Linked DNA regions of Lepisosteus oculatus. Each later gene encodes a partner of the first gene's protein in a complex. Links are inferred from orthologs where the notes say so. Each region holds a gene or a part of one and is shown on either strand. Other genes may lie near its edges.

Region 1 (7,150 bases):
AGACGAGGTTCCAGATCTCCAGCACGTTGGGGTCGTCCATGTTGACGAGGTGGGCGGCGTCGCGACCCCCAATGCGGTCGTAATGGATCTCGCTGCAGGGCCCGCAGGGGCCCGTGTCCCCCATCTCCCAGAAATTGTCCTTCATGCTTCCGGGCAGGATGCGGCTCTCCTCCATACTGGCGTGCGGGAGAAGGGAGGGGTGGCAGAGTGAAAGATGAGGGAAATAAAAACAGCGGGAAAGAACTCACCACACGAGTGCAAACCGCCTGCTGCACAAATTACAGATGAGTGACAGGACACAGGACGTGCTCACACCTGATGCTATTCCACATGTTCACAACCTAACAGCTACTGAAAGAAATCCCTCCACTACACAGCATTAACAAGAACAAAACACAGGCGAAAGGCTGAATCGCTCTTGCTCTGAAGGCCTCCATGCAGAAACAGCGGCCACTGCCACATTTAACAATTCAGACCTCTCCCCAGAAGAGCAAGAACCACCCGCCCAACAGGAAGGTGAAAAGAGCTGAAATGTCCAGCAGTGCCACACTCGTTCGCTAAAAACTAAAATACAGTTTCACATGAGAAACAGTCAGGGACATTTGCAATTTCCAGGGACGAGTCTGGAACTGTTAAACTGTCAGGGCTACCGGTTCAGATTTCAGTCAGAAAGGTTTGGAATATCGAAGAGCTTGCCAGTTTGCAAGTAGGTCAAACTGACCATTCCAGATCCAGTACACTCTGCTGTGTCTGGACAGCAGAGCTGAGACACCAGTCCATAAGACTCTGTAGACTCCTGCTACGTTAGACCATTATTTAATTCTGAGATGGGGGGGAGGGGGGATTTCTCTAGTTTTCACAGGAGTCCAGAAACTCAGTGTTTTGGTTTTTTTACACACATCTGAAAAGCTGCGCTGACAGAGAGGTGAGCTTTTGTCTTCAAGGAGAAATGTGATAAAGGGGAGCAAAATCCATCTACAAATTGTTTAAGTGCAGAATTTCACAAACAAAAAGACCTGAAAAAACACAGAGACAACAGGGAAAATCTTAAAAGACAAAGTTCCTCCTGTTCAACATCTTGATAAATGAGATTTTTGAAACTCTAGTAACTTATTATCACCAGATATGGTATAATTCATCTAGAATGCCCTGGATTGAGGTGCTATATTAGAAAAAAACTGACTGATCGCATTGACCGATACTGAATATGACGGACGCTGCTCCCTTTCTGGGCTGCCATCCCAGAAAGCTCACTTGGCAGAGCAGGAGGGTGGAAGAGGAGAGAGGGAGGCGTCGAGGAGACACTCACCCCAGGTCCAGCCAGATCTGCCTGCACTCCAGGTCCGGCTCCAGGCCCGCCTCCTCGTGCCCTCCGAAGTAAGTGACGTACAGACGTTCGATGGGGATCCCGAACTCCTTCGTCAGCAGCTCCAGGGCCATCTGGCACGCCAGGTGCTACAGCAGACAGACACAATCAGACTCATTCGGACAGCAGGGGGCCCTCCCAGCAGATCCTCTGCTGACAAACAGCTGTTTTTATTTTAAAAAAATAAAATTGGAAGGTGATTCAGTAAGAATCCCCCAAGACAAAGGGTTAAAGAAATAATGAATAAAAAAGAAGCCAGGAATGCCAAGGGAGGTGCAGTGGTTAGTGTTGTTGCCTGGCTGTGCTGGGGCCCTGGGCTCAGTTCTGGACCTGTACGTTCTCTCTGTGTTTGTGTGGGTTTCCTCCCACAGTCCAAAGACATGCTGGTGGGTTAACTGGTTTCTGGGAAACTGCCCCCGACGTGAGTGTGTGTGTCTGTGTGTGCCCTGCAATGGACTGGCGTCTAGTCCAGGGTGTGTTCTGCCTCGCACCCACTGACTGCTGGGAAAGACTCCAGTTTCCCATCGACCCTGAGCTGGATAAAGCTGCTAGAAAATGGATGGATGGAATAAACTAGAAACATTAGCAAAGCTGCAGCTTGGGGGTTCCAGACTGGGGCTCCCGGGGTGCGCCCCTCACCTTGAAGTAGTCCCCGAAGGACCAGGAGCCCAGCATCTCGAAGAAGGTGTGGTGGTAGACGTCCTTGCCCACGTCGTCCAGGTCGTTGTGCTTGCCGCCGGCGCGGATGCACTTCTGCGTGTTGGCAGCGCGGCGCAGCTTGGCCATGGGGTGGGCGGGGTCGATGGTGTTCAGGAAGATGGGCTTGAACTGCGCGGGGAGAGAGCGAGAGGGAGACTGAGGACAGGCCGCCGAGAGAGGGGACCAGAGCCAGAACGCGGGGGAGGAAGAACGAGAGTCCGCTCGTGCCAGAGAGGGACGCAGGCATGCCCCCTTCTCCAGTTGTGGGCGCCCTTGCAGAGCGAGGGGTTCCCAGACCCGGACGTGGGTGCTCAGTGACCGGGGGGACACCTGCCTGGTTCATGCCGGCGTTGGCGAAGAGCAGCGTGGGGTCATCCAGCGGGATGGTGGAGGAGGAGTGCACATACTGGTGCTCGTGCCTCTGGAAGAAGGCGATGAACCTCTCCCGGATCTGCGCGGCCGTCAGCGACGAGTCCATCGTGGAAGCAGCTTCTGGAAGGGCGGGACAGAGAGGGGCGCGCGGGGTCAGAGAGGGCGGCAGGCCTGCGCCCCCGGGGCATTCCCCAACCTGTCGGAACCTGTTCCCAGCAACAGCCCACCTGGGAACAGCTGGGCTGCAGCAAATCTCCCCAGACACAATAAAGACTAAACTGCCAAAGAATGACGTCACAGTCGAGCTCTTCGTCTGGATGCACACAAGCAGGGAGAAACGAGCGCTGCCTTCTTGCAAATAACTTATACCTGCTTCTCTCCTCAATGAACTTCAAGAGCACACGATAGTGCACGTTAACAGCGCAGCCTCGCTCCCTCTGAACTGCTCAAGCACTCACACCCCAGGTGACCCTGGCCTCCCTTACACCTTGCTCTCACGCACTTCAGTGACGAGCCGGCGAGCAACAGGCCTGCAGGCGGCACCTCGTCCACGCCTGTGCGGGCAGCTCTGCAGACACCCCCCCGCGAGGACTCGGCGGGGCTTTTAAAACACGCCGCGCTGTCACGTGATGCGACAGGGCACTGCATGGTTTTTACCCGCGGGGGGGTGTCCACGTTTCGCGAGTGTAGGCTTTGCAGAAAGTGTCCAAATCGTCACACCTCACCGCTGGAATCGATTCGATCGCGTCTTCAACCCGCCCGCCTCTACCCTGAGCTTCACCTCTGCAGCTTCCGAACAGCAAGACTGCGCTGAACCCCGCAAGGACTTGACTCTCGGCTCTTTATTCCTGTAGTGCATGCGCTACTTCTGAGAGCAAATATATGTACAATCACAGTAGTTACTTACGATAACACTGCCTTTTTTTTTTGTGGAGACGTGATAAGGAATAATGACGTCTGCACTTTTATTTGCTGAAACATATGACTGAATGATCATGTTTTCGTGGTGCCACAAAAACACCGCCGCTTCTGACAGCAGGCTTACGACGCAATCGAGCGTCGGACATTAATATCACGGTCACAAACACAAATTATATTGTATGCATCTTCTACCTGCACAGAACGATCCACCAGTTACGGAACAAAATGTCTCACATTCGCTCGTACTGTAACATCAGAAATAATCCATCAGAAACCTTTATGTGGGTTCAGACAAAAGAAATCAGATTTATAGAAGCTACGTTAGAGTCACCTGACCAAAATAACCCTCAACAACCAGGCAGAGCTCGTAATAGCTTATCATAATGATACATAATCAATAAAACCACACATATTAGGAACGAACACATAAAATCTAGCCTTTAATTCTCAAAAAAGAAGCACAATACAGTAGACATAACTCACATGTAGTCTGAAACCCTCCAATCTCCACACGCTCAGCAGACCACTGCCTCGCACCGGCAAAACCACACGCCTTACCCCTTTGCCCCGCCTTTCCCTGGTGGCCATTGGTTCGCTGCAGCAGGAAGTTAACTGTTTCTCGGTGCGGATTGGCTGCACGGGATGTCAGTCTTACGCAGAGGCACAAACCGGTTATTTTCGGCCGCGCGGAGACGCCGAGTGCGGCTGATGCAATTTATCCGTAAGTCGGCTCGTGTGGAAGAGCTGCAGCGCATAGCGCGTACTGCAGATCTGTCATTAACCCGGTGTGGCGCCCACGTACTCGGACTTTCAGGGCTTTATACAGCTGAAACACGAGTTTTTAAAAAGGCAGTGTTAATAACCTTCCATTCTAATGTTATGCATGTTCGTTGCATGCACATAGGTCTTGAAACAACAATAGTTTTAAGAAAATAACGCTCAGTATACAGTCTGTTTTTGCTTGTAGTCCTTAACACGCAGGGACACAACATGCAGAAAAAAATAGGGTGGGTACTGATCACGCTCCAAAGAGCTGGACAGCAATACTGCTGGCTTGTCGTGATCTCATCAGATCTCACAACCTCATCAGAGCTGGGCATGGCCAGTACTGGGGTGGGAGCCCTCTGAAGGAAACAGGTTGCTGCTGTAACAGGTGTTGGTACTCCAGCAGGAGGCGATCTTTCACCTGGCTCAAAGTATGCAAACCGATGCCCCAGTATGGTGACTGGCAGCACGGTGCTGTAGGACCCTCACATATGACCTTACACTAAGGCTTGGTCATGAAGGATCCCACAATAGGCCTCATAAGAGGGTGTCATCTTGGTGTCCTGTCTAATTTAATTTAGATCAGGGGCATCTCCAATCTGGCCTACCTACTGGTTAAGCAGTGGTCTTATTAGGGTACAGTGGTACAGTAGTTAGCTTTGCTATAGTGTAGTGCTTGGAGTCTGGGTTCCATTCCTGGGTGTGCTTCCTGTGTGGGTTTCCTCCCACAGTCCAAACACAAACTGGCAGCTTGGAAAGTTGGCCCTGGTGCGAGTGTGTCCTGCCTTGTATCCCTTGCTTGCCGGGATTAAAAAATACTTACATATATTAGAATAAAAAACTAAATCTTGTAAATGCCGTCTCTACATTTTATCATCTGTTGCCCTTTCTCGGGAAGTAACGTTGTGACGTCATACGAAAACGTTTTGCTCGTCAAAATTACTAACGGCCATGATCTCGAAAAGTCAGTATTTACAACAGAAACTCATACATCTAGAATAACTTAATATACTGCATGCCGTATCGGCGCGGAAAGGCAATTATATCCGGCGCACATCCCTCTCCTCCAAAACCTTCGTTCGGAGGTCTTTCCGTATCCCATGAACCTCTGCCCGCAGTGTACAGGAAGTGTAATCTACAAAAGACTATTGCGCACTGTTGTCTATGGTATTTCCACACCAGCCATGCCGGTGGATACCAAGCGAGTGAGGGGTCCAGATGAGTCTCAGTCTCCGTTACTTTTCGTCCTCCCGAGCACCAGGAAGCCTGAATGTCCGCAGGAAGGCAGGGAGGACGGGAGGCAGCGGAGCCAGGCCGACGTGCGGCCCGTATTTGCGCGATGCGGACTGATCAGCCAGGCAAAGGGGTCTGCCTACATCGAGGCGGGGAACACGAAGCTGATCTGCTCGGTGTACGGACCACGGGAGACCGACAGGAAGGACGAGGTGGACATGAAGTCCGGCAGGCTGGTGTGTGACTTTCGCTTCGCCCCGTTTTCGTGCCCGAAGAGGGGCTCCTGGATCCAGGGCAGCGAAGAGAAGGATCTGTCTCTGGGGATGCTGGAGAGCCTGCTGCCCGCAGCCTGTCTGCACAAGTACCCCCGCTCGCAGATCGAGGTCAACGTGGTGGCGCTGGAGCACGACGGCTCGGTTCTGGCCCACGCCGTCACCTGCGCCTCCCTGGCGCTGGCGGACGCCGGGATCGAGATGTACGACCTGGTCCTGGGCTGCGCGCTGAGGCAGGACGGGCCCTCCTTCCTCATCGACCCCACTTTCGCGGAGGAGAGCGGCGCCCAGTCCGCCGGGTCTGGAGAGAACCAGGGCAGGGTGACTGTGGCTCTGCTGCCCAGCCTCCACCAGGTGTCGGGGCTGCAGTCGGACGGGGAGATGGCGGAGGACACGCTGGTGGGGGCTGTGAAAGCCTGCATCGAGGGGTGCCAGCGCCTGTACCCCGTTATCCAGCAGGCCTTGGCGAGGGCTGTGCGGAGGAAAGCGCCTCCGACAGCCGTCTGAGGGCGAACTTGCTGGAGCTGCCGGACAGCGAGTGAACTTGAAGACGCGCTTCTTTCTGTCGGCGAAGCGTTTCTCAGAGACGAGATATTTATTTTTGTCATATACATCACGGACGATTTGTGCCGTCTGATTTTTCTATTAAACGTTCCTGTGAGTCAGTTCGTTTGCTTTTCCTTTTTCTTTTCCCGTGCGACAAACGCAAAACTGTATTTTGCAAAAACACTGAACACGTAGAAAGTGAGGATCCCTCGAGATCCAGTGACACCGACATCAGGGAATTATTCCCGACTCTGTTTTGTATGGATGTGTGTGTGTGTGGGAGTTGATCCTCCTGAATTGTCCAAAACTATTTTCATTCATAAAAACTTGATCGTTTATTCAGATACTTGTTTTCCTTTCAAATGGACACCTGACACACTTGAATGAAGCTCTTGAGTAAATCAGAAGTCTGTCTATCAAGAGACAGTTTTGTGTGTGTGCAGTGTGACTGGTTACAGACCCTGATCAACACTAATCTTGGACTCATGAAGGCTATTTTCTGTCAATGAGTCTACAAACTTGTTCACCATGGTCTTTGAAAGCAGAACTCCATGTTCAGTATTTCCTTTTAGATTTCTGAAAATGTTTTGCCAGTGTATACTTACAGGTGTGATTCAGAAATATTTTAGTTACCTCTTGAGTATATCTGCTCCAATAGCAGTAGTTAAAAGTACCCTCTTGAGACTATAACTAGATTCCAGTGATCAATTTGTTCTAAGGTAGAAGAGGATGGAATATATACCCAAAGAAAGTTGTAGTCAAATATAATATTTTAATGGCTTTTAGTATAAATGATAAAGTTTATAATTCACTGTATAAACAATTGTCACCTACAGTGATCAGAAGCATTAAAAAGTTATTTTTTACACACCAAAGAAAAGCTTTCAGAGACTTTTTAGAGACCACATTGAGATGCAAACAATTAATCTGCTCGATTCTATTCGCTGCGGCAGTTTTATGGTTTTATAGTGTACAG
Region 2 (8,215 bases), on another chromosome or scaffold:
TCCAGCTAGATCACTGCGTTCAAATTACGCTGATAAGGGCCTGATTTAAAAACAGGATTTTTACCGAATGGCCTTTGTGATTGATTACCTTGAGCTTTACACTCGCCAGCATCATTGTGTTGGCATCGTTTGTGCAAAACCAAGCCCGGTTCAGAAGCCAACGAGCTGTGCACAGCACTCCGAAAGGTCACCCTGCCCGCTGTCTCCGCTATCAGGCTACATCTGTGCCTGGCCATTTTATGATCAGGACAATCAATTTCTTTCACTTTTTTTCTTTTCGTTTGTTGAGAGACAGGATCCTGATTTTCCCGGATCGGCTGCATTTTTGCAAAGACCGGTCTCAAAATGGCAGAACTAAATCTGGGGAAGAAAAAGGGGGCCTATTTCAGCTGAGTGTGCGTTACCTTTGCTGCTGTTGCTGCTGGCGTTCTGTGTTTAGGCTTGGCCTTTCCTTAATGTCTTTGCATTGGAGCACACATGCGAAAGAGCACTCCACTGCCCTTGTGCATACGACAGAATAACCTGGACTGAACTGTCACACTCGTCTCCCAGGAAGGCCACTCAGCTGTCATATCGTTGCACCAGGATGAGCCCACAGGAAGGACTGCAAGTGGCATCCCAGAACATGAGCAGTGAAGCAGCATGCAGTCAGGCTGTTAAAAAAATCACCACCAATGGCATCACACCGGGACCAGCAATCAAGTGCATCATTCTGCCTGTGCGCACCATGCTCGCCAATATACATCAGGGTGGGCAACGCAAACCGCGATTTATTGTGAAAGAGGCTGGTCTGTTCCTGCAACACCTTTGCCTTTGCGTCACTTGGGATTTCTTCATAACAACGGACGTTCACAAGGTTAAATCAGCTCGTCGCCTGTGCCCAATCAGCCCTCTCACTAATGAGGCGACTTCATGCTTATGAAAGCGTCAAAGTCACTTGAGTGAACCAGGGTCAGTCATTAATGACCAATTCATCAAAAATAAAACCGATATGCAAAACGAACATTCTTTCTCATTCTAGTAACATATAGAAATTGAACTATTGAACTTTGTTATGATATTCTATATCTCCCTCTTTAAAAAGCAGCCAGATTGTAAAGGTACTGTAGGTGCCTTTCTGTGAACCTACAAGGGACATATTTGTGTACTGTACACACAAAGGGAAGGGTATATGACTAAGAACTAGACTACGATAGTAGGTAAACACTAAGAACTAGAAATGCCAGACTACAATGTCACTTTCACCAAAGGGACAAATGTAATAGACAGAAAGGTAAATTATTTCTCAGGCCACAGTCACAAAAGAAGAAACACTATTATACGTACAACAATGGTACTGCAACAAAAAAAAACGACAACAAAATAAGATCACATTCTAATTCAAAACCAAATAAAAAACTAATGCATTCATCAGATGGGTTGGAATTCTTTCTTACCAACAGAAGAGGCAGATTCTTTTCAATAATTGATGATTTTAAACAATAATTTAAAATAAGCTCAATAATTCAAAGGGGGAAAAACTTAAAATGAAGATGACAGAGCAACCAGCAACATTAAAAAATACAGCCAACAGATGCAGTGTCAGAGCAGAATTTCTTAAATCAGGCTGAAACTATATCTTGATCGTCAAAAGAATTGTAACGTGAAACATGAATTCCTACGATCAACCTCGTCACAAAGAAGGGGGAGAGAGTGCGGTACTGACCACCACATTGTAAAAAACGTGATTAATAAGTAATATTACTAAGTTGCTATAGTAGAACTGCGGACGTTTCAAAGCCAGCAGCAGAACTCTCAAATGCTCCTCATAAAAGTAACTCAGTTCCTTAAATGTCAGAATCCCGGCTAATGCCAAACAATCATTACGAATAATAAGAGTTATACATCATCTAGAAATGATTAATTAGCAGACAGCAGTCTGTGCGAGGCTGGCTTCTTCAGGCTTTGAGAGACTCCAAGCACTATTCCCTTTGGCTAATGAACCAAGTTACCAAGTACTTCACACACACAAAAGCTTTTTTTCCCTGCAAGACCACAGGCCTTGTGCGACTATCAATGTCACTGTCCCGGAAACACGGCTCTTCTACAATTACAGTGAAGATTAATAATGCAAATAATCCAACAGCATTATAGGCAACTTTTCAAATTAAACAAAATCTATAAATTCACAATGTGCAATTGTGCAAATGTTTCCCTGTATTCAATAATGTACTTTGAAATTTACTATACATAATGCTGACCACATGGACACATTGCTATACATACAAAATTCTCAAAACCACTGCAGAGCGTTTTCTCTGGCATGCATTAAGTGTGCCGTGTGCAGGAAAATGTAGCGTTGGGGAACAAACCTTAAACTGTGCAGCACAATTTTGTAACGATGGGCAAAAGAAACGCAACACAGCTCTAAAACTGATCTAGTCACAAACCACAGAAAATGTGATGGGATCAAAGAAATGCAAAAGGTTTTTCAGACTAAAAGGTGAGAAAATGCCACAAAGTCAAAATGAAAATATTGCAAAGGAAGCAGTGGGAACAACTGTCCTGAGCAAATGATGCACGGACCTGATCAGCCTCTGCACAGTCCGCTGTGGGATGATCCGACACACCTCTGCAGCTGCTTCCAGCAGCTGGAAGTCAGCTGGTCACACCTGGCCGGAGCAACACTCAACACGAAGCTCACCATGTGGGCACCCCTCCATCGGGTTTGTCAAGAGTGAAACCGCCAGGTGAGTAAGACACTCTTAACACCCCCTCGGCTGCCACCTCGCGTGTTCTTTGGCACCTTCGGGAGACGATGCCTGAACAGCCTTCACACTCGCGGATCTTTTTCGTGCACGTGTGGAGCTACAACATCTGCCGATATGCTTGCAACGTCCTCCAGGATTTCCTCCAGTGACGGAGCCCCCCCAACCTGAAGACAGTCCCGCAATGGGACGCCACAGTCCCGGCCAGCGTGGTGCCCCCCTGCCTCTCGGGCTGTAGGCTGTCCCTCACAGAGCCAGTTTCCTGGTTTCTCTCAACTAGTGAGCTGCCAGCCCCATTCTCCTGCGGATCAGCTCTTCCTACAGCCTTCAATCATGCAGACGGCAACCAGAGGATCTTCACTTCTCCAGCAGGGCAGGGTCATATATCTCACTGTTCTTGCGTTAATTAAATCACGTTTATACAGGTTGCCAGCTCATCTTGATTCTTTTAACTCTTCACAAATACTAAACAGCAGGCCTTTTACTAAATCAAACGACTTGATAGTATTTCGCCCTCTCAACGAATACTACTCAATCAACAAATCATCTCAACTCTTAATTAAGATGTGAATAATATAGTGCACAAGCCCAGTGCGCTACCGTTATGAAAGTGGTACATTTTCATTGCACCCCTATACTTATTTGTAAAAAATCTATACTTTTAAAACACCAAGTGGAGGGTAAATCTTGTTATCCTGTAAGTTCGTGGGACTACTACTGAATGCATCGTGAATATTATTCACAAACAAATTACAGTAAGAAAATAGCACTCAAGTTTAAAAACTAGTTAGCATTGTGGACGTTTAGCATTGTGGAAGACGTTAGCAACATCAGCCTATATCACAGCAATGTGAAGACTCCCAGCACAAGATAAACACATTAAAATGACGTCTGCTGTAGTGGCATTCCATAAGGGTTCTGGGGGTAAACACACTGTACGATATCTCTGTTACACTTTCTACATTACTTGTAACATGGATCTGCTATGGTGATACACACTCCATCGCACCACAGATGGTGGCCAACCTGACACGACAAAAAGCTGCCGACTGACGAACTGGAAAGACCGCCAGCCATATCGCCGCAGTCACTCCTCTTCAAACTGGGAGGAATGCGCGAGTGGGGTGGACGCGACGATGTCTCCCCGAGACTGCCAACCTTTACGCTTCGAGATGAAACCGACGTCAAACCCGTCCACCTTCGCGGCATGGGCTCGACTTCCAAAGGCTATTTTGCGGTATCTCAGACAACGCTAGCGCTATTTTATAATGGGAGGAAACGCAGACTGGCCAAAGGTGGCATGTTTTTTTTTTTTTTTTTTTTAAACGAGCCGTCGTTTCAGCTACAGGAATCCAAACCACCGCCACTGTGCAAGATTTCGAGTTTAAGCCGAACAACTGGTCTGCACTCACCTTTCAAAGGACGAAGGGGGGTTGCACGTTTAAGGCACAGGCGGCCAGATGTTGTTTCCTTGTCAGAAACACCCGCGATGGAAAACCTAATGTCAGCTTCATACACTCGCTGCCTCCCGCTGCCAGCGCACCTTGGCGAACCGCGATGCGCGCCTCCCTTCTGAACCAAAGGCGCTGTGCGTGTGTCTTATCACGCAACTAACTGCCGGTTTGCCCGACCTACTCCTCCTTAACCCATAGATTAAGGTGGCTGCAGTTCCGCATCACCATGCCCCTGCTCGACGGTGCAGTCGGTAGGGTCCCTGTACTATCTGGAGAGCTCTGGCCAAGCCAATGCAAGCGAAAGTAACCAACCAGGAAGTGCGCCGTGTGCGTGAAGAGGCGACGCTTCCTGCGCCCCGAACTCCAGCTAAACAACACCCTTCCTTCCCGTTTTTTCAGTCACACCAGTGCGAAATCTTCCGAGGCGTCCTTCTTGGTATATTACCCCCCGGAGGCTGTTGAAAGGCAAAGGGCTGCCAGCATATGCAACAGTTTTTCCAAGTCCGCAAAAATCCTCACAGCATTGCGCAATCGGACCGACCTGGCGCGCCCCCCCCCGGCGTGTCGCAGTTTGATGAGGTAGCGGCTGTCCCGGCCACACGTGGTGCGGAGAAAACATGGCTACTGTGCAGATCAGCGAAGCAGAGAAGGTCTACATCGTGCATGGTGTTCGGGTGAGTTACCTTATAAAATTATACGAAATTGTGTTTTGCTGGGAGGGGGGTGGGTGTTCAATTTTGGTGTGTGAGTTTGTTAAGCGGGAGAAACGGAGCTTTAAATGCAAACCAACTTCTCTCTCGCCGTGAGAGTAACCTGTTTTCAGTGCTTATGTAGAAACCCAGTTGGTAATAAGCAGTCGGTAGCCGATTAACAACTTCACGCTGAAAGCGATTTTAGAAACCTGTTTGGAAAATAACGTGCACGATTTATTTTTGTATTTTTTTTAGGATGACCTGCGAGTGGATGGGCGGGGCTGTGAAGATTACAGACACATGGAGATTGAAACTGATGTAGTGTCCAACACCGACGGGTCCGCCAGAGTTAAACTGGTAAATAACACATCCGGTCTGCCTTCGTTCTAGAGGCAACGATGCAGCTGTGCGTCTCACTGTCTTCCCTGCGCTCAGACAAATGAGCTAAGTGACAAGGGGGTGTGTGTGTTCATGATAAAAATATGGAGGTTTCCATGTTTTTCATTGCTGCTTATGGGTAAATTGTTGATGAAGATATAACACTTCATTTAGAACACCACTGCGGAGATCTGAGTTATCCAGACAGAGTGACAAAAGAGAGTATTGTGCTCAGCCACATTCTCTACATCACATGTTGCTTCAGACTTCATTTAGCAGTGTATAAGCCTGTTTGCAGTGTGAGTTGAAATAGGATCCCAAGCTTTCTCAAGGGAATAAACCTTTACTTGCTCCTTCGCGGTGTGATGTTTATTTGGTTTCTCCAGGGGTACTCGGATATCCTTGTGGGAATCAAAGCAGAGATTGGCAGACCGAGGCCCATGGTGCCAGATGAAGGGTTTCTGGAGTTTTTTGTTGACTGGTAAGTTGTTTTTTATTCCAAACAGCAGTTTTCAGCACAGTACCACTGCTCTCACTGGGTCCTGTATGTTGCACAGATTGACAGTGCAAATTTAAAAAGTAAAAATAATTCACAATGTCTTGTGACAGTAGTAATATGAATTCTACACTGTACTTACAGTTACGACAGTTGAATATTAAAAAGTTCTAGAGTATTAACTCTTCAAAAGTGTATGATAAGTAGAAGGATGAATCTGAGTGTACCATAACTGAAAATACGTAGTTCTGCTTCAATTTTAAGAGCATACAGAGAGTCTTGCACAAGTATCCTGAAGGATTCCACATTTTATATCCGAGCTGGTAAACCTGACGCTTTCAAATTTGACTTTTTATTTTGAATCAACACAGACTATTCCTAAGTGATAAAGCGAAAAAAGAAATGCTGATAGTGTTACCAAAGTTATCTTTTCAATGAAAATGTCAAAATTCTCTGTTGCATTCAATACTCAAATTCTCTGCTGCACAGCTCAGGTGCAAATGATGAGTTTGAAATTTTGCTAAATTATTCTGATGTTTTTTTTCTGTGTGTAATCCAAGTAGTTTAACTTTACTTCAGAGAACATTTGTCTCTGTAAGCTTCCTCAGTTAGATATGGAATTTCGAGCCACAACACAGTTTTACTAGTGCAGTTGAGAAAAGCCAGCCGGTAGCAGTTGTCTCCTGTGGTGGTCTATAAGACTGAAAACCCCTTTTCTGAAGCGTCAGCTGTTAGGCCTTAGTGCTGACACAAAGGCGTACCAGGATGTGTTTATTTTGATTTTGGATCAAAACAGTTGTCATTTAAGAACCACTCCACTGAATACACTTCGTATACACAACCAGTAGGTGGAGGTAAAGGATTAAAAATGGATTTTTTTTGCCTTTGCTGAAAGTCTTTGAAACAGAATTTTGGTTTTTAATGTCAACAGACATGTTTTCTCTCACTCTGAGGACCGGTAATCAATGGTTTTCAGATTAACTCTGAATTTCTTTAGGCAGAGGGTGAAGTGACAAATATTTAATCACAACAATACATTTTCTAATGTTGGGAGTGTATTCTGAGTTCAGTTCCAACACTGATGATAAAGCTGATTATTCCTGGTGAGGCTGACCCAGAGGACTTCCGTGTTGCTTAGATAGAATCAGGATTATATCCTGGACAGCGAGCTAGTCTCGAGAGAGAGGCGCGCGCTCACTCCTGCACACATACACATAGAACCCAGAGACACCTTGTCGCCTTGTCTGTGGGCATCCAGAGGAAAGTGGAGCACCTGGGCACAATCAATGTGAACACCTGCAAAGCTTGCAGAACCAAATAGAAGCTGCCCCAGGCCAGGATCAACCCTAGAGTCCTAGAGCTGTCAGTCCTCACTGCTGTGCTGCCCAGCACAGAGAAATCCGTCTCTTCAAACCTCTGCTCCACATCTTGTCTTGCACGCTGGGAAAGGACAAGAGGGGAAAGCAAAGTAGAGTCACTTTGAGAACATAGAAGGTTAACGATGCTATAGTAGCAGATAGTGGTTGTTGCAATATTGGTAAGTCCATTTTGTACGCAACTGTTTTGTCTTTTCCTGAAATCTCCAGGATTTAAGGGCTGGTTCGAGCTACAAATCTTCACGTGTTTTTGAAAACTTGCTCCTCAGCTCGGCAAACGCAACCCCAGAGTTTGAAGGGCGAGGGGGAGAAGACCTCGGCACCGAGATCAGTAACACGCTGTACAAGGTGTTCAACAACCGCCACAGCGTTGACCTGCGGGCGCTCTGTATCAGCCCCAAGGAGCACTGCTGGATTCTGTATGTGGATGTGCTGGTGAGTACGTCCGCTCCAGAGCCTCGGAAATTCAGTGCGTAGCATTGCACCTCTTTATAAGAGGTTTAAAGATACACTGCCTTTATTTTTCGTCTCTCAAGGAGAGGGAGTTATAGTTGGTAATTTCTTTCCCTGATTTAAATATTCGTCTTTGCAGGGTATTCCGATGTTTTTTTTTTCAGTCATTCCTAAAGTGGTGTGCATTTGCAGTGGTCAAACTTGACTTGTTTCTGCCGCTGTAAACATGAGTTTTAGGGTGGAGACTCATAAAAACCTCTTTATGCACAAATGAATAGAACTGTTGTAAGAGTTTATTCTAATGCCAGGTGCTGCATCTGAAAGCTCCTTCTAATGTTTGCTTTCCAGCTGCTGCAATGTGATGGAAACCTGTATGATGCCATCTCTGTAGCAGTTAAAGCAGCCCTCTTTAACACACGGTAAGGCAATGCATGTGTTCCAGTTGTAATGTCAGCGGTTTGTGAAGACGTGCATGGTTGTGCCAAAGATAAGTTTTTATGAGTTGACCTCTCATGTCATAGTAATACTTAGGCTATTCCTAAATGATATGTAAAGTCTAGGTTTGTAATACGCGAGTAATAATAATAATAATAATAATAATAATTGCTTATACTTATAT
Region 3 (8,194 bases), on another chromosome or scaffold:
TGTATTTGACCATGAAGCTTGTTCGTTGATTAATTTATTAATTCAGCCCTTTTCTTCTCCTGCGTTTTGGCAGATTTTCTTTGCTTAGTGTTCATGTTGGCACCAATTTACTGCCCGGTTTGACTTTTGTGCTGCTGGAGGGTTAGTGTACTGCAGGAATGTGCAGTGGTCAAGTATCAAAGTTCAGCCAGACGTCACAAAGACAACAGGCAGTGGTGATGGGGGCAGGGGGCTCAGGCTTGTGGAAATGTGGAGCTGGAGTGTTGGCATACGGTGTCACTGCGCTCAAAATGTTGTATGTCATAGCACGAGACTGGAACTGTTTGACATTATTATTAGCTTTTAAAGAATTATTTTTTACCAGAACAGTTTGACTTGCTGTGAAATATTTCTTTTTAACAACTGAAGTGAAAGAAAAAAAAAACTATTCAATGAGCCTTAAGGACTTATAACTGAACTGAAGCTGATACATTTGTTTTCAAACATGACAACACACCAGAGTCAGTTTAGCTGTAGCAGAGGCAGACTGAGATTGCCGGTATTCTCTGATTTATTATTACAGGTGCTCTGTTCGAGCACTGAATCTGAATTCTTCTTATTTTCAGGCTGTCTATTTATAGTCCTTAAACGGTGCTCGGTATTGTAATGAAGTTTGAGTTTCAGCATCACAGCCAGAATGTTTCTTGGCAGTTTCTGTCAGCCAAGGCCAGAGTTCTAATTCATTGTCTACTATATCTTCTGGAAACTAGCCCTTCTGAAGCACGGGTCTCCACAAAATACCATCACCGGACCTGTCCTCTGCTTTTTTAGCAACGAACGTGCGTACTGATGTTTACCTTCTTTTCTAACCTTGACTCTTCAGTCCAGCCCTGGGCCTGCTGTAAATCACTCCTTCAGTGTACCATTATACGAGCACCCAGAGAGACCTTGTGTTTCCCTGCTTCCGGCAGGACCGTCGCTATGCTGACCTGACGGAGGACCAGCTGCCCTCCTGCGAGAGCCTGAAGGACACCATCGCCCGAGCTCTCCCCTTCTGGAACGAGGAGATAGTCCCGCAGATCAAGGAGGGCAAGAGGGTCCTGATCGCTGCCCATGGCAACAGCCTGAGGGGCATCGTCAAGCACCTAGAGGGTATGTACCCGCCGAGGACGCTCTGTTTTTAGGGCAGGGTTTCAATATTATGGCAGCTACATTTCATTTAACCTATTTTCCCATTAATCTTGTGGCACCAAAACTGGTACTTTATTTCTGATGTTCTCGTAATGCCTGACTGGCCTCGGGATTTGTTTTCGACCTGCCGCCGGCCGAGCTGTTCCGGCGGCGCGGCGGTGGTGGCAGGATGCCATTACTCAGGCTGCTCTTGTGTCGACAGGCATGTCGGAGGAGGCCATCATGGAGCTGAACCTCCCCACGGGCATCCCCATCCTGTACGAGCTGGACAAGAACCTGAAGCCCGTGAAGCCCATGCAGTTCCTGGGCGACGAGGAGACTGTCCGCAAGGCCATGGAGGCGGTGGCTGCCCAGGGCAAGGCCAAGAAGTAAAAAGAAAGCCTCCTGTGCACGAACGCTGGAGGCTCCTGGCAGGGGGGCGCTGTGCCACTGCTCTCGGAGGACACACGCAAACCTCCCTTCTACACCACACATCACAAGTTTCATTCCCGGCGCTCGCTCAGGTCATTTAGCATTGTCCTTCTCTTACTTTCTTTCTGATACAGGACAGTTGGAGGGTTTCTTCAAGGTAACAAGCAAGAAGAGCGGGCTTGTTAAATTTGTCATACGCGAAGATGGACAGGGTAGGATGAGGAGAATGTTAAAGACTAATGTAGACCAAAGCTCAAACAAGGGACCAGTAGCTCAGTCAAACAGTTTCTTGACCTGCAATATCTGACTCCTAGCTTCTTCATTCGAAAAAGGTCATTGATAATCCTTACAGTTTGTTTAAGCGTTCATGAACAAATTCGTTTTACATATGAAGCTTTGTTTATGCCATTAAAGAATTTGACAACTTTTCAAAGGGAACCCTTGGCCCAGTTTAAAAGGGAAGTCAGACTTTTCATTTTGTCTCCTGTATAAGTAAATATGCAACAGGGAAAACAAAATTTGGACACAAAGCTTTATTATTGCTGGATAAAGCTGGAATGTGCCCTGTAATTCATTCTCACAGGTTTACTTTTCACAGCAACTTCTGTGTGCGCTGTAGTCATTCCGATGTCGCACATTTTGAGGTTTTGGGTTACAGACCGGCACACGAGGAGCAATGCTTTTGCATTCGATTCATTCCACGATCCCTGTTGTCAGCTCCTGAGAGCTGTTGCCACCTGGGCACCTCTGCCTCCCTCCCTCCCTCCCTCCCGTCACATGCTGGTATGTCTGTAGTTTTCACCATTGTGACGCTGTTTGTGTGTAGGTTTCCTGCCAGTTTCCCGTGAGGAGTGGGCTCTGCAGCTTGAGCGCATACAAGCGAGAAATAAGGAGCCCCTGTCTCTGAACCCAGTGTAACATCGAGTGTGAATCCGTCACCTATAGCACCTACAGTGAGAGCCAGTGAATCTGCTTTGTGTACAAGGCCTTTCCATACACAGTAACAGATTCTGCTTCAAATAAAAGGGCTGCTGAGGTAGGACACGAACTAACACATTTCTCCAGTTTGTCTTCCTCTACCGAAGACCCAGTCTAAATCTTGATGTTTTGATTGTTAGTTCTGTCTTGAATCTTGGCTTTGGAGAGGAGTATAAGCAGCCAGTTACTGCAGCATTCTTCGGTTCTGCAGGTGAAAGCCCCTGTTCCTCAGTTTGTATGTGTGCAGGATACTCTGCCCCTGCTCTTCACATGAGTGTTCATGTGGCTTTGCTGCCAGTGGTTCTTCAGAGAGCTTCAGTTTGATTAGGGTTTATTGCAATGCACTGTTTTGATGTACACTGAACCCCTTGTGTAAAACAAATAAATCCTATGATGTGCAGTATTGTATTGACTTTTGTCCCTTATTTTCACTTATCTCATAAAATGATGTTTATGATTTTTTTCTTTTGCACTTCCATATACTCCTGTTAAGCTATATAAAAATGTGAAAATTTCTAGTTGAAATAAGATTTAAACATACATTGAAATCTGATCTGTAGTCTTCATAAATACCACATCACTAATAGTATCATTCCATACTTGCCAGAGAAACCTATTTGTTGGAAGAATTAAAATAATTGTTGGAGATATTCTCTGCTAAGGTCTTGAGTGCTCCTGTAAGGTGCTTTTCAACAGGGAGAAGTGTGGTCAGAGTGCCCTCTGCTGGACATAATTCATCCTGTGTTTTAAACGCGTCCTCAAAAACGCTGGCATTACAGTATTTACCATGAAACCTATGAAAGTAAAATTAGTTATGCTCTGGTGTGTTTCCTGAGAGGACTGATGAAGATGGGGTCTGAGATCCATGGAGCTCGTACACGGTTAGGTAATGCACAGGACATATGTAAAATACTAAAATAGGAAAATATTTAAAAAATGGATTGGATGGATTGAACTGTATTCTATCCTTTGCAAAGTTTAGCTGTAAAGAAACAAAGGGTAATTGGGATGCACATCTATTATCCAGAAGAGCGGAGTGGAAGAAGTAAACGGTTATACAGGTGTTCACAAATGGGGGAATTAAACATTTGCTTTAGGTGAAATTACCATCTTGGTTGTAAACGATTTAATCCGGCGATAAATTAAGGAGGTGTCTGACGTTCAAACTACATGTGGACCAGACCCGCTTTTCTGAAAAAGTATTTCGAATAACACTTGGAGTACAGGGTACCCTGCCTGTTTGGAAAATCACAAATGTAATTACCATTCATACCAAAACGGGGACAAAATTGAATTAAGGAATTATAGACAGGTCAGCTTCTCAGCCACGTCTAAAGTAGTGTAAGTTTAACTAGAGTAGAGGAGCACATAAAGAAAAATGCAATCCTGAAAATAATTTTAGACAGAAGATAGTGAACAGACAAGTGGACGACCGTGACGGGACTGCTCGATTACATGGAGGTATCCGTGACTACTGCTCTCAAAATGTAGACTACATAAAATGCATTTGTGCTTCCAGAACGTTTTTGAAAAATGACACATGAAAGTGATTTAAGCCTGTCAGAGCAGAACTTTCCTTTAAGGTAAAAACATTCATAAAGCCTGCATAGATAGATCTTTAAAGGTGATACTCTTCTGCTCGTCACGATCTCCGCTTTTAAAACAACTGTACATTTAGGCACAGGTAGAGGTTTATTCCATGTTGAAAGGAAAAGAAAAGAGACGCAACGTTTCGGCCGTGTAGTCTTCAGGTGTGGCTTTAACAATATCACACCTGAAGAAGGCTCCACAGCCGAACCGTAATGTTTCCGCGTGGAATATACGTTTACTTGCCCCTTTGCAGCCTACGCATTCTGAAGCAGCTACGTACTCGAACTGTACAATTACAGGTGGGATTTTACTCCATGTTTTCTGTTAACTGGTGTATTCAGATTAACATAACTTGCAATACAACAAAATGTAGCCATGGTAAAATTAAAAGCACATCATAGACTCGCAATCAGGTCACAGGTCTCTTACTCGACCGGAAGTCAGTAACACTGAACCACTAAAAAAGCTTAATCTAGAACAGCCGTTCTTAGCTTTGGCCAATCAGATGACTCGTTGCTTCTGCCGTGTGGGCCAATCAGAGCATTTCTTATTCTATTCTGAAAACATGTCTCCTAAGACGCTGTGTGTGCCAGGTACGTGGGGTTTAAAAACGTTATGTGAAATAAAATGTATTTAATGACTGAATCGTCTGGACCTGACAGCAGTTAATACACACATGGATACATTTTGACTGCAGGGTTTCACTTTCTTGTCTTGTATTGATTCTTAGTTCATTCACCAAATGTTGTGTGAGTTTTTAAAGTAAAAATCATAGTAATTCTTAAAAGTTTGAAAATGATCCCCTGACTGAGCCACATTGTTTAATATAACACTTTTTTGTCAGTAAGGGTAGGTCTCTCGGGGCAACAGAGGTTATAGCACATTTCGTTGCTGTTTTCGGTAGCTGTATTCATAAAGTGATGCCAGAAACTGAGTATGGGTATACCTGTCTTGCAGAACAACTTTGCAATTGAATGATAAATTAAAAGTCGTATTGAAAGGACTCGGTGTATGGTGAGGTATAACATTAGAAACAGTAGCAGTATCAAAGCAATCCATCAGGAGCCAAACACTTAAACCTAGTATAGTTTGTAAAGTTAACCTCGCTTTACCGACAGTTACATCATCCTGACGAAATTCGTGTCTTAGGTACGTCGTAGAGACTATTTTTGAAGCTTAACGCCATTTATAAAGTAGACATTTAAACCATTAAGCCACGTCTTCTGACCCCGTCCTTATTAAAGTTGGCACTTGAAAGTTGTTATTTTCAAGTGATGCTGACAGTATAAACAGCATTGTTTGATTGTTCTGTTGCTCTGGGGCTGGACTTTGAGCAGTGGTTGCCTGTAAATATTGTCGTCCCGCAGGAGAGAGGCTGTGCAGCACAGAGGAGTGTGTCCCGGGGCCTGGAACGTACTTGCGTCATGGCTACATCTTTGCCTCCCTCGCTGGTTATGTGCTGAGGAAGAACGCGGGAGAGGAGGTGGGTGAGAGTGTGGAAGAATTGTACTTCCTCCAAGTGCATCTCCTAAGTGTGGAAGGAAGTGTTGCGTGTGCAGAGGAAAATGGTTTAAAATATACCAGAAAGATCTGTAAATGGTCATTGAAACTGGATTGTGCATTTGTGATGGTGCAAGAGTACTGTTCTAGCAATGGGAGATTTGTCTTGGCTGTTGTGTTCTGCAGATGCCTGTGGTCTCGGTGGTGAAGGAGAGTGAGGCTCAGCTGCTGCCTGATGTTGGCGCTACAGTCACATGCAAGGTAGGAGCTCTGTCCTCCAGGGTGTTTTACACAGAAGTATGAAGTTCTCTGTCCTAACATCCCTCGGTTTGCTCTGTGCTGCACAGGCATAGCAATACTAACATAAGCCTACCTCACTGTTTTTTTGGTCATTTGTATTTTGGTATTATTGTTTTTTTTGCCACCCTAGACTAATAATATCTTAAGTTGTAGATAATAGCCGAAAATTCCTATTATAGATGTGAAGTGCCAGTGAAACAGAATGTCATTTTTGTCCTGGTGATTGTGGAGTTAGTGTTATGAAAGAGGCTTGGTCAACATTATAGTTCCAGGGGAGTGAAGGTCTTTTGCCAACAGGTTACAAGCATCAACCCACGATTTGCTAAGGTCCAGATCCTCTATGTTGGATCCACCCCACTGAAGGACAGATTCAGAGGAACAATCAGGTAACTAGAGCAATGACATTTCAAGTAACATGTCTCAAATTATATTTTAGCATATACTTTTATTTACTTTGTAAATACCCTAATAATGCATAACATATGTGTTGTTCTTGTGATACATTTTTCTCACTGACCCGTCCATGGCTGTCTCCTTGCAATGCTATGTGAGAGTTAATAATTTTTATGGACAAATTGAGTTTTTGTATGTAATTTCACAATTGAATTTTCCATTCATAGTGAACTTATATTCTGTTCTATTAGTGAGTGAAATGTGAAAAATCCACATCACACGGACAGGTTTTGTGTGTATGACCATAATTTCTGAATATTTATTATGCATTTTTTGTCCTTAGAAAACACTGTTGTTTCATTGTCAACTGCTGTATTTGAACTGTTAGTCTAAAAACAATTTGCATTTATTTTTGGTGCTTGGAGACTCTACTGAATAATTTCCATCGGTCCATGTGTTTTTTCATTCAAGTCTTGCCAATTCTTCTTGCCTGTTTGCATCATGTTAACACAATGCACAAAGTCTTGGGCTAACGATTTAAACAACTACAACAAATAAATAAACGTTCTATACATGTGAGCTTTGTAGTTATAAGTTTACAGACATAAATGTAACTATATGAAAACAGATGAAAATAGCCAGGACATTAAGGCTAAAGCCCAGGTTGAGGAAGAAAGCTGGTCCCTGTCATCACAAAGGTGGTAAAATGCCGCTGTCATGTACGACAGAGTAGTGCTGCTTATTTTTTGGCACAGTATAAGGCAAATTCCCATGTGACCCTGAATTAAAATATTTCTAAGCAATACTGAACTGATGGAAAGTTGAAAGACGCTGGCGTCTCATGTTTCTGTGAGTGTGATGCATTTAGGTATTTTTGGTACAGAATCTAAATTTCTAATACTTTTTTTTGTAGAAAGGAAGATGTGAGAGCTACAGAAAAGGACAAGGTATTATTTTCAAATTGACTTGCAGTGCATTGATATCCAATAAGTGCCTTTATTTCCGGTTTCCCAATCCCATGACCTGTAAATTTACTCTTTATCAGGTGGAGATCTACAAGAGTTTCCGACCAGGAGATATCGTTCTAGCCAAAGTTGTATCCTTTGTAGATGCTGAAGGGCAGACAACAGCCCTCTGTTGCTCGACACCTTTCTGATGCTTCTAAAAAACATTAACAAGAGCTGCGCGTTTGCCGATGGGTTCATCGGCAGTCAGCGCACGCTGCATGCAGTGCAGCTTTTAGCGGTATTGTGAATAAAGGGCTCAATGGAGATGTAAAGCTTGAGTAGTAATAAGTCTGACCTGTATGTCTGTACAAAATGTTCTGAATAATGTCTTGTGCTGTTAAGTTCTAGATCCAGGCTTGAGCCTCTCGGTTACCACAGCACAGTGATTCCAGTTCTGTCTGACCTGTGTTGCCCTTGACCACTAGGCAGATCTCCCTAGGTGATGTCCAGTCCAACTATCTTCTCACCACAGCGGAGAATGAGCTGGGAGTGGTGGTAGCACATAGTGAAGCAGGTGAGTATGTTTTCAAAGGACCTGCATTGCTGACTTTGAACTGATTCTTACCTGCACGGATGAATCACATTCCAGTTTTGCAAATTGTGCGTTTTGACTGAATAGAATAGAATGGTGTTCTGAATTGTTGAGGGAGAGAATACCATGAATATAATCTTTCAGTTGGCCTTAGGACTCTGCATGCAGATTTCAGAAGATGTCTGCATTTCTCATAGTGCCCCAAATTACAACAGTATTGCATAGGGTTTTGAAGTCCTGGTCAAGACATGGTTACCCCTCTGTTATTACTGTGACTGGGGATTTAGTGACCATTATCGATCACATTGTAATC
Region 4 (8,460 bases), on another chromosome or scaffold:
GGGCATTCCCGTAGCATTCCCCCAGTCGTGTATTCAAAGATGTCTGTGAGGCGGTGTTGCCTACTTGAACCCCGCTTTTTGAAGCGTTAATGCTACGTTATTCCGAAATTAAGTCCCAGCGGCGGACTTTTAAGTCACATGGGTGCATGGTATGGCCAGTTTAGTTTCTTTTGTGGTGTTATACAATCTGCGCCACGATGACACTCCTAACCGCTACACAGCTCTAGAGGACGCCGCCGCTGTGCTCGATCGCAAGCTGCGTCAGAGGAGTCTGGATTTAGCAGGAGCCCTCTCACACGACGGTGCGATTAACGGCTGGGCGCCCGTTTCTCCCCTTGCAGACGATTTCCACCTGTGTGACGGCTCCTCCTCGTCCGCCTCCTCTTCCTCCTCCTCCTCCGCCTCCTCCTCCTCCTCGTCCTCCGCCGCCTCCAGCCGCATGCGCTGCGTCATCTGCCACCGCGGCTTCAACTCCCGCAGCAACCTGCGGTCGCACATGCGGATCCACACGCTGGACAAGCCCTTCGTCTGCCGCTTCTGCAACCGGCGCTTCAGCCAGTCCTCCACGCTGCGCAACCACGTCCGGCTCCACACGGGCGAGCGCCCCTACAAGTGCCACGTGTGCCAGAGCGCCTACTCGCAGCTGGCCGGGCTCCGGGCGCACCAGAAGAGCGCCCGGCACCGGCCCTCCGGCACCGGGGCCGTGGTCTCGCTGCAGGCCCACTCGCCCCCGCCGCCGCAGATGCCCCCCGTGCCTCACCCGGTGTCCCTGGCGCACCACATCCCCACCATGGTCCTGTGATGGCGGGGAGCCTGGGGACCCAGAGAAACAGGTCGCGAACCCCGGCGACACGCGGAGGCTTCGCTTTCTCCCGGCCTCCGCGTCGCCCTGGCCCCGCGTCTCGGTCGCACATGACCACGTTTTAACCTTGTGCGCATTGGCAGAAAGGGAAAGTAAACGCAAGCTCACCCGAAGGCCGGGCAGTGCTACGCGGCGGATGTGAACGCGGACAAGAGGCAGCTCCGAGAGACTCACGGACCGGCACGTTATTTCAGCGATGAGACCTCTCGCCGCCACCTGTAATCGTTGACTAGACGCGAGGAGTTCGGTTTCGCGCTGCCGCAAGCTTTGCGCATCAGCTTAAAGCGGACTTTTGAAAAACAGTAGTCGATTTAAGCACCGGTACAATTAATGGCAGGGGGGTGCGCTGTGCCTGAATTTTTTTCTCCCATGCTTTAGAAAGTGACAGCTGTGCTAAATACAGTATGTATGAAGGATTAGATGTTAGCTAAATTGCTCTCCTCTCTTTTGGAAACACAATGGAACCTGTCTATATGTCTTAACAAGAAAACTTTTTATAAAAACAACTGTCAGTCAAATTATGGATTGCAGTAGGTATGTCAAAGACATACTGTTTCTTAGAATACCTTGGGTATAAATGGGAAAATTGGTGGTATACTTCTTGTATACAAAATGTGCTACATTGTGTGAGAAAACAATGCTGTTTTGTTTAATGCATCCGGTTCTCTAGATCTTGTTCAGAATATGTTACTGTTTTAAAACAACACACACATTATAAGAACTTCTTCTATACCATAATGGTTACTGAAAAGATGAGAAATGACACACAGTGTTCGGCGAGCTGATGTGGTTTAAGTTTGTATTCAAACTGTTCTGATGGATGTTATCGTTCTCCGATGGCTCTCAGCTGCGATGCTCCTTTGCTTTTGTGTGGCTTGGTGCGCCCCTAGTGTCTCCACACCTGTATGAAACCCTTCCTGTACGGGAGAAAAAGAATCGTAAGAAACAGAAGATGTATATAAAATGATTAAAATATATATGAAATGTAAATATAATTTTAAAACTGTGCTATACTTCCACTAAATAGTCACTTTATGTATGTACATATTTATGTAAAACAGTATTTACAACACTTTGGTATTATATATTAATAGTATATGTATGCAGATGTAAATAACTTTGTACTTTTCATCTTGCATTCTAAATAAACTACTACATGCATAATTTTGTGTTCATGAAACACCCATGATTATTTCAATCTTTTTTTTTTAACATTCAGGTAAGTATTATTACTGTAACTCTTCAAAACCACCAATATGCACTCATTGCAGAACTCCTCTAAACATTTTCAGTGTTGGCTTATTGAAGCGCTAAGAGAAGATTATGAGCCAGGAAAGTAAGAAGATATGAAAGATGACAAAAGAAGCTGAGAGATTTGGCTCATCTGGTTCGTTTGGTTTCCAGTAGCTAATTATTGGAGGATCTCCTTCGGTTGTTTCTGAAAAGAACCCAGGGAGTTTGATATACCTGGGTAGCTTGTTCCATGCTTCTGCAACTGTTTGTGTATAGAGATGCCTCCTGTTCTCAGTCCCAATTGCACTTTCCTGTTGATTCCACTTGTGCCCTCTGTCTTATATTTCTTATGTTTATGTTTCAATCTGAACATGTCAGGTGTAGTCTTCACTTTTCAAGACTAAAAGGGTCCAGATCCTTCAGCCTGTCAGTGTAGTCATTTTAAGCTTGGTCCATGACAGGGCACACACACACACACGGAGAAAACCCATGCACACACGGGGAGAACATACAAGCTCCCCACAGACATCTCTCCAGGAACTCAACCCAAGTCTTCACTGCTGCAAGGCTGCAATGCTAATACTGACCCACCATGCCCTCCTAATCTTGATCCTGGTATTTGGATATTTTTCTCTGGATTGATTGCCAAACAGTAAAAACCTTTTCTCTCAGTGTTGTGATCGAAATCGAACACCGTAATCTAAACGTGGTCTTAGCAGTGCATTGTACCACTATATTTGATATGTGGTATATCGCCCTTTGCTTTTATATTGTCTTCTCATATTGCGTAGAGACCTGTGAAAATGTTATTCTTTTCTTGTCAAGGTCAACACAAACACAAGTCTCAAGGAATTCATTGAAGTGTCGATTAAAACTTAAAAACGGTTTCAAAACTCTTTCAAACTATCACAGAAAGACATCAGAAACCCAGATTATCCTGAAATTAGGATCACACCTTCTCCTTCTCTCACCGACAGACTCGTTTCCTTCCAGTCCTCTCTATTCATTTGCAGGCTTTGACTTCACACCTCTCTCGACTTTGCCCATCTTGGGCAGTGATACTGCTTCTCTCCTGCTCTTGCCTCCTGTCCACTCCCAGCTTCATCTCCTGCTGGCTTTCCTCTGTCCACCACACTAGAGGAAGGCACCACAGCCGAAACTTCACAGCATTGACTAAACCTTTACTTGTTCCTTTGCAGCCTACACATGCTGACGCCGCTGCCTATTTAAGACTTTAGATAATAATAATAATAATTAATAATAATAATAATACTTCTACTACTACTAATAATAATTGCTTACACTTATATACTTATAATAATAATCAGAATTGCTCAGACATGTAGGCCGACACCTTAGTATTTGGTATCATGTGAGTTTCACACAGTAAGCAAAATGTAACGTCCCATATAAAACAAAGAATATCATTCCTGGTAAATGAAACAGATACAATTATTATTCCAAAAAAATGTCCTTCCAAACTCACTTACGTTTCCCTAAGTGTCCACTAGAGGAGGCAGTAAATTCGCGATACTTTTTGTATTAATGGAATTGCTGGGATCTGTTATAATAATAATTAGTTATATTTATATAGCGCTGTTCTGGACACTCCACTCAAAAGCACTTTACAGGTAATGGGGATCCCCTCCACCCCCACCAGTGTGCAGCCCCACCTGGATGATGCACCAGTACGCTCCCCACACACCAGCTCTCAGTGGGGAGGAGAGCAGAGTGATGGAGCCAGTTCAGAGATGGGGATTATTAGGAGACCGTGACTGGTAAAGGCCAGGGGGAAATTTGGGGCCAGGACGCCGGGGTTACACCCCTATTCTTTTCGAGAAACGCCCTGGGATTTCTAATGACCACAGAGAGTCAGGACCTCGGTTTTTCGTTTCATCCGAAGGACCGCGCCTTTCTACAGTATAGTGTCCCCGTCACTATACTGGGGCATTAGGACCCACATGGACAGCGGGGTGAGCGCCCCCTGGTGGCCCCACTAACACCTCTTCCAGCAGCAATCCTAGTTTTTCCCGAGGAGGTGTTCTATCCAGGTACTGACCAGGCTCACCTGCTGAGCTTCAGTGGGGCTGCCCGTTGTGAGCTGCAGGCGAGAATTATTTTTTATTGTTATTATTTTTCCCTGACTTGTTGTTTTCTATACAGTGATCTATATAGATATAACTCACGTTATTAAATAAATATCTTGAATCAGTGAACAAGAAGATTCAGTTTTCAAGTTTATAATTCAGAAGTGATTTACTCAATTTCGCTGTTTTATTCTAACATCGACGTGTATTTGTAGATTTCTTTATTCACTCGAGTACGTAAAAAACTTACATAATACGTCCAGGTGATTAATTCATTAAAAGTTTATTGTGATGTAGTGCTGCACTGCATTTCGGTGCCCGGAGAGCGATGACGTCAACAATAAGCGCCGTGACGTGATCGAACAGAGCCGCGACCGTGTGCACACAGAGGAATTGAAGATGGCTGTTGATATCAGACTACCTAGTGGACGTAAACGGGTGACAGATTCTTTATCTGCAATCGAAGAAAAACATCTTGTAGCTCCAGGAGATGTCATTACTACAGACACTGGTTTCATGAGGTATTTGAAGGTTTTGTAATATTTTCCAGACTGTTCGCAGAGGCCTTTGTGAAGTTGATGTCTACGTACACGTGTATTCTCTGCAAAATAACAGGAATAAAGTTTGTTGTGTTAATTTTCGCCGAAATGTATGCAGATCTGTTTGAGTTAGTTTCTGCCTTGACCATACCTTTCAGCTGAATGAAAGCTGAGCAGTTAGGGTTGACATTACCTTTCTTTAATGTTGTCAGTGGGTTTAAGAGCATTTTAAGTAGCGCTGGCAGATTGACTGTTTTTTGGTTTTGAAAAACGGTCACCTAGGGTGGAGGAGATAAAAAACAGATGAAACCCTTAAACCTCATGTAAAGATTGGATTAACGAGCGGAGAAAACGCTATCTGGTTTAATGTAGAGGATTTCTCGCTTGTTGTTGTACACTCGTCCGGCAGATGTCGCTGATAAAACAACGGTGGAACGTTTCGAGTGTGCCGTTTAGTGTGGACTACGGTAGCTCAGTGAGATTAGAGATTGGGGTTTTATGTGCTGTTTCACATTGACTAGTTGTGCTCGGGATCCTTTACCTCCCTTAACTTCATCCTGAAATGTGGGAAGAGCTGTCGTGCGGTCCTGACGCAGCGTCGTTCACCAACAACACGGATCACAAGACGTTCCTCGGTGTAGGCGTTTGAAAGCAACCGTAGTATTGGTAAAATATTTTACATGTTCTCTCTCTTGGTGCTCCAGTCTCCTCCCACAGTTCAAAGACATGCTGGTAGGTGAGTTGGTGTCTAGTACGACTGTCCCTGGTGTGAGTGGGCATATGTTTGTGTCTGTGTGCCCTGTGAAGATCTGGTGTCCTGTCCTGGGTGTACCCTGCCTCTGCACTTCCGCATCCCTGAACTGGATGAAACAGATGGAAAAAAGGATTGATCTCTGAGTCTGCGCTCTGTCTCCCTGCAGGGGACATGGCACCTACATGGACGAAGAGAAGCTGACCGCCTCGGTGGCTGGAGAGGTGGAGAGGGTCAACAAGCTGATCTGTGTGAGACCCCTCAAGACGAGGTGAGCCCCGCCGGAGCGCCACGCCCGCGGTTTCTTAGGAGGGCGTGCTGCCGTCTTCGTGCCTTAGCTCTGGCGCGTGTCGGCGAGTTCGTGTCCGCAGACGACTCAAGACGTGGCCGCGGACATCTCCTTGGTGACCGTGAGCTTCACCTCCCTCCCCGGCTGGGGGCTGCGTGATGAAACGAGTGTTTTTCCAATCTGTGGTGGGGGCAGGGTCCAGATAAAGGGCGGCCTGGAACCCACCTGGTGCGTTCGCCAGCTCTTCTAGGCTCTAGGCAGAAACCCTTCCCTGTGTGCGTCTCGTCTTTGTGCCCAGGTTCAACGGCGAAGTCGGGGACGTGGTCGTCGGCCGGGTCACTGAGGTACGTGGCGGCGAGAGAAGGTGGGGTGTGCTGTGGTGAGCGGTGCTGGTGCACAGGAGCGCACAAGTGTGCACGGGTCCGTTTCACTCGCAGATCTTCCGCCGAATCGGTGGTCAACAAGCCGTCGGTGAGTAAGTTAATCTCGTGTCGAACGGACGCTTTATTGCAAAAAAAAGCCCGACGGGATAAAGGACAGGATGGTAGTGTGCCGAACAGGGCGATGCCCGCCATTTGCTTTGATCACCACTGCAGTTGTAGAAGGAATACCTTCCATAGCACGCCGGGGAGCCATTCAAATGAATACTGCGCCTTTCTTTTGCAGCTTCTGCTGTCCATAGTCTCTTCCTTATTTGCTCTTCTGGGTCTCATTTCTAAAGGCCATTTGGTAGGTTTTAGTTCAGGGCTGCAAGAAAGCTGTAATGTATTTTCATCACTCCTCTTTTTAAATCGCCATTATGTGATGCATCATCATGCATTCCGTCAGTACTGGGAGTCTAGTGCTGTCATGGTGCCCCTGGCTTTTACAGAAACCCATGTGCACAGACCTAACGATGGACTCCCATACCACCACACTGCAGCCTCCATGCTGAATAGTCAAAGTTATGAAGCACCTTAGACAGTCATCACTCGCAGATTTCTCCCATCGGAAGCAGGCGGCATGCAGTGGGACTCATTCTAAAAAACAGGCCCATCTGAATCACTGCCGTGCTTTCTGTGCGTTCCCATGCAAGACTGTAGCCTCGTGTGCGGATTCCTTGTCGCAGCAGCAGTTCTGTATGGACTTTAGGCATTCTCGCAACTTAATTTCAGCAGCTGGCCGTAACGGGAGCGCAGTGACTTTCCACTCACTCTCTTCGGAGCAGTGCAGGAAGACCTATTCAGAGGCCTTTTGCAGTAGTGTGCCTTGTATTGGCATTTAGAGTTGATTTTGTTCTTAAAGCGACTCGGCTAGTTAATCCCAGAAGTCTCGGAGGTTCCTGGGGTGACCTAGGGGCTGGGGTGTTCTGGGCGGAGATCAGCCCCACGGGGAGTAACGTCCGCCTGCCGGTCTCTGCAGGTTCAGCAGAAGCGGTGGAAGGTGGAGACGAACTCCCGGCTGGACTCCGTGCTGCTGCTGTCTTCAGTGAACCTCCCCGGGGGAGAGCTGGTAAGGCCAGGCGGCTGCCCCCAGCAGGAAGAGCGCCGGGGACTTGGCATGTCTCTGTCGCTGTGCAGGACTTGCCAGGAGATTGTTTTGTGGGAAAAAATACAATTTCCCTGGGAGTTTTACTATGCTACGGGCAGACAACAGAGATCGGTGTTGAATCCAAAAAGATGGGACACCAAGAGACCCAAGAGAGGTGTGGATGTACATGGCCTGCAGTTTTAATCTGCAGACCCACAGACCGAGCAGCAGATTTAAGTGGAAACCGGTGCAGCTCGGTGTGATCACACAGCAAGCAGAGGTAACGGGCTTGTATGGGTTACTGCTAAACCCTGGGCGAAGTACAACCTGCCCTACCCCTGTAGTGCTTGCATCACATTGTGCTGAGCTGACTGGGAATGATTGTCGCCGATGTCTGTTCATATACTCTGGAAATCTGCCACAAATGTACACAGGCTGCACTCTTCTGCAGCTGAGCTATTCAGGGGCACTGTAAAATATGAAATTAGCCTCCATGTGTGAAGGGAATGAGGCCTAACTGTTGGGTGTTTTTCAGAGAAGGAGATCGGCAGAAGATGAGCTGACCATGAGAGACTACCTGCAAGAAGGAGACCTGATCAGTGTATCCTTTCTTCTTCGGGAAATATAAGTAGCGCTGCAGGTGGGATGAAGTGATCGAGCCCGGCTTTGCCATCTGGTTGTGAGTGGAGAGGATCAGTACTCCCAGGCACGCGGTTACACTGTGTCCGCAGAGCAACGTGACCGATCAGCTCCTTGACTCAGTGCTGCGCAGGCAGAAGTGCAGTCAGTCTTTTCTGATGGGGCTCTTTCCCTCCACACACGCAGTCTGAAGTACGGCAAGGTGAGTGTCTTCTGAGCAGTCAAGCACTTTGTACTTTATTGAACACTCTACATATATAGTTTCTCTCTTACAGTGGGAACCGTCTCGAATTAGTCTCGTATTTAGTCCAGCTTAAAGAGACTGTAAAAAGTGAATGTAAAAGATTAAGTAATGCATTTGTTTTTAAATCACACCGACTGTACTGGATAAAATTGATTAAAATGGATAAGAATGTTTGCATGGACCTAGATTAATGCTCTCAATACTTCCGACTAGTCACCTGTGTCATTGCAGGTAAGCCTTTTATTGATTCAGACCTCACGCCGCTTTTGATAGCAAAGCCAAAACCGTTGTTAATGATAAAGACCAG

The links.
Region 2: exosc6 (region 1) and exosc7 share a complex: the UniProt entries of both Homo sapiens proteins name them as parts of the RNA exosome core complex. The link is inferred for Lepisosteus oculatus from reciprocal best matches to the Homo sapiens genes EXOSC6 and EXOSC7.
Region 3: exosc6 (region 1) and exosc1 share a complex: the UniProt entries of both Homo sapiens proteins name them as parts of the RNA exosome core complex. The link is inferred for Lepisosteus oculatus from reciprocal best matches to the Homo sapiens genes EXOSC6 and EXOSC1.
Region 4: exosc6 (region 1) and exosc2 share a complex: the UniProt entries of both Homo sapiens proteins name them as parts of the RNA exosome core complex. The link is inferred for Lepisosteus oculatus from reciprocal best matches to the Homo sapiens genes EXOSC6 and EXOSC2.

What each region holds. Positions count from the first base shown.
Region 1 is NC_090715.1:1,374,123-1,381,272, reverse strand, and holds exosc6 (exosome complex component MTR3), read left to right. Parts: upstream 1-5,265; 5' UTR 5,266-5,307; coding exon 5,308-6,135; 3' UTR 6,136-6,293; downstream 6,294-7,150. Other genes in the region: aars1 (alanine--tRNA ligase, cytoplasmic), read right to left, coding at 1-176, 1,310-1,455, 2,006-2,194, 2,400-2,543. UniProt on the Homo sapiens protein: Non-catalytic component of the RNA exosome complex which has 3'->5' exoribonuclease activity and participates in a multitude of cellular RNA processing and degradation events.
Region 2 is NC_090705.1:41,382,633-41,390,847, forward strand, and holds the start of exosc7 (exosome complex component RRP42), read left to right. Parts: upstream 1-4,721; 5' UTR 4,722-4,818; coding exon 4,819-4,875; intron 4,876-5,148; coding exon 5,149-5,250; intron 5,251-5,657; coding exon 5,658-5,752; intron 5,753-7,412; coding exon 7,413-7,578; intron 7,579-7,944; coding exon 7,945-8,015; intron 8,016-8,215. UniProt on the Homo sapiens protein: Non-catalytic component of the RNA exosome complex which has 3'->5' exoribonuclease activity and participates in a multitude of cellular RNA processing and degradation events.
Region 3 is NC_090699.1:16,729,092-16,737,285, forward strand, and holds the start of exosc1 (exosome complex component CSL4), read left to right. Parts: upstream 1-4,662; 5' UTR 4,663-4,714; coding exon 4,715-4,742; intron 4,743-5,516; coding exon 5,517-5,632; intron 5,633-5,835; coding exon 5,836-5,910; intron 5,911-6,246; coding exon 6,247-6,335; intron 6,336-7,255; coding exon 7,256-7,289; intron 7,290-7,387; coding exon 7,388-7,438; intron 7,439-7,778; coding exon 7,779-7,863; intron 7,864-8,194. Other genes in the region: phosphoglycerate mutase 1, read left to right, coding at 951-1,131, 1,373-1,542. UniProt on the Homo sapiens protein: Non-catalytic component of the RNA exosome complex which has 3'->5' exoribonuclease activity and participates in a multitude of cellular RNA processing and degradation events.
Region 4 is NC_090719.1:14,545,716-14,554,175, forward strand, and holds the start of exosc2 (exosome complex component RRP4), read left to right. Parts: upstream 1-4,537; 5' UTR 4,538-4,581; coding exon 4,582-4,703; intron 4,704-5,641; coding exon 5,642-5,743; intron 5,744-6,059; coding exon 6,060-6,105; intron 6,106-7,162; coding exon 7,163-7,252; intron 7,253-7,805; coding exon 7,806-7,871; intron 7,872-8,042; coding exon 8,043-8,111; intron 8,112-8,460. Other genes in the region: prdm12b (PR domain zinc finger protein 12b), read left to right, coding at 222-802. UniProt on the Homo sapiens protein: Non-catalytic component of the RNA exosome complex which has 3'->5' exoribonuclease activity and participates in a multitude of cellular RNA processing and degradation events.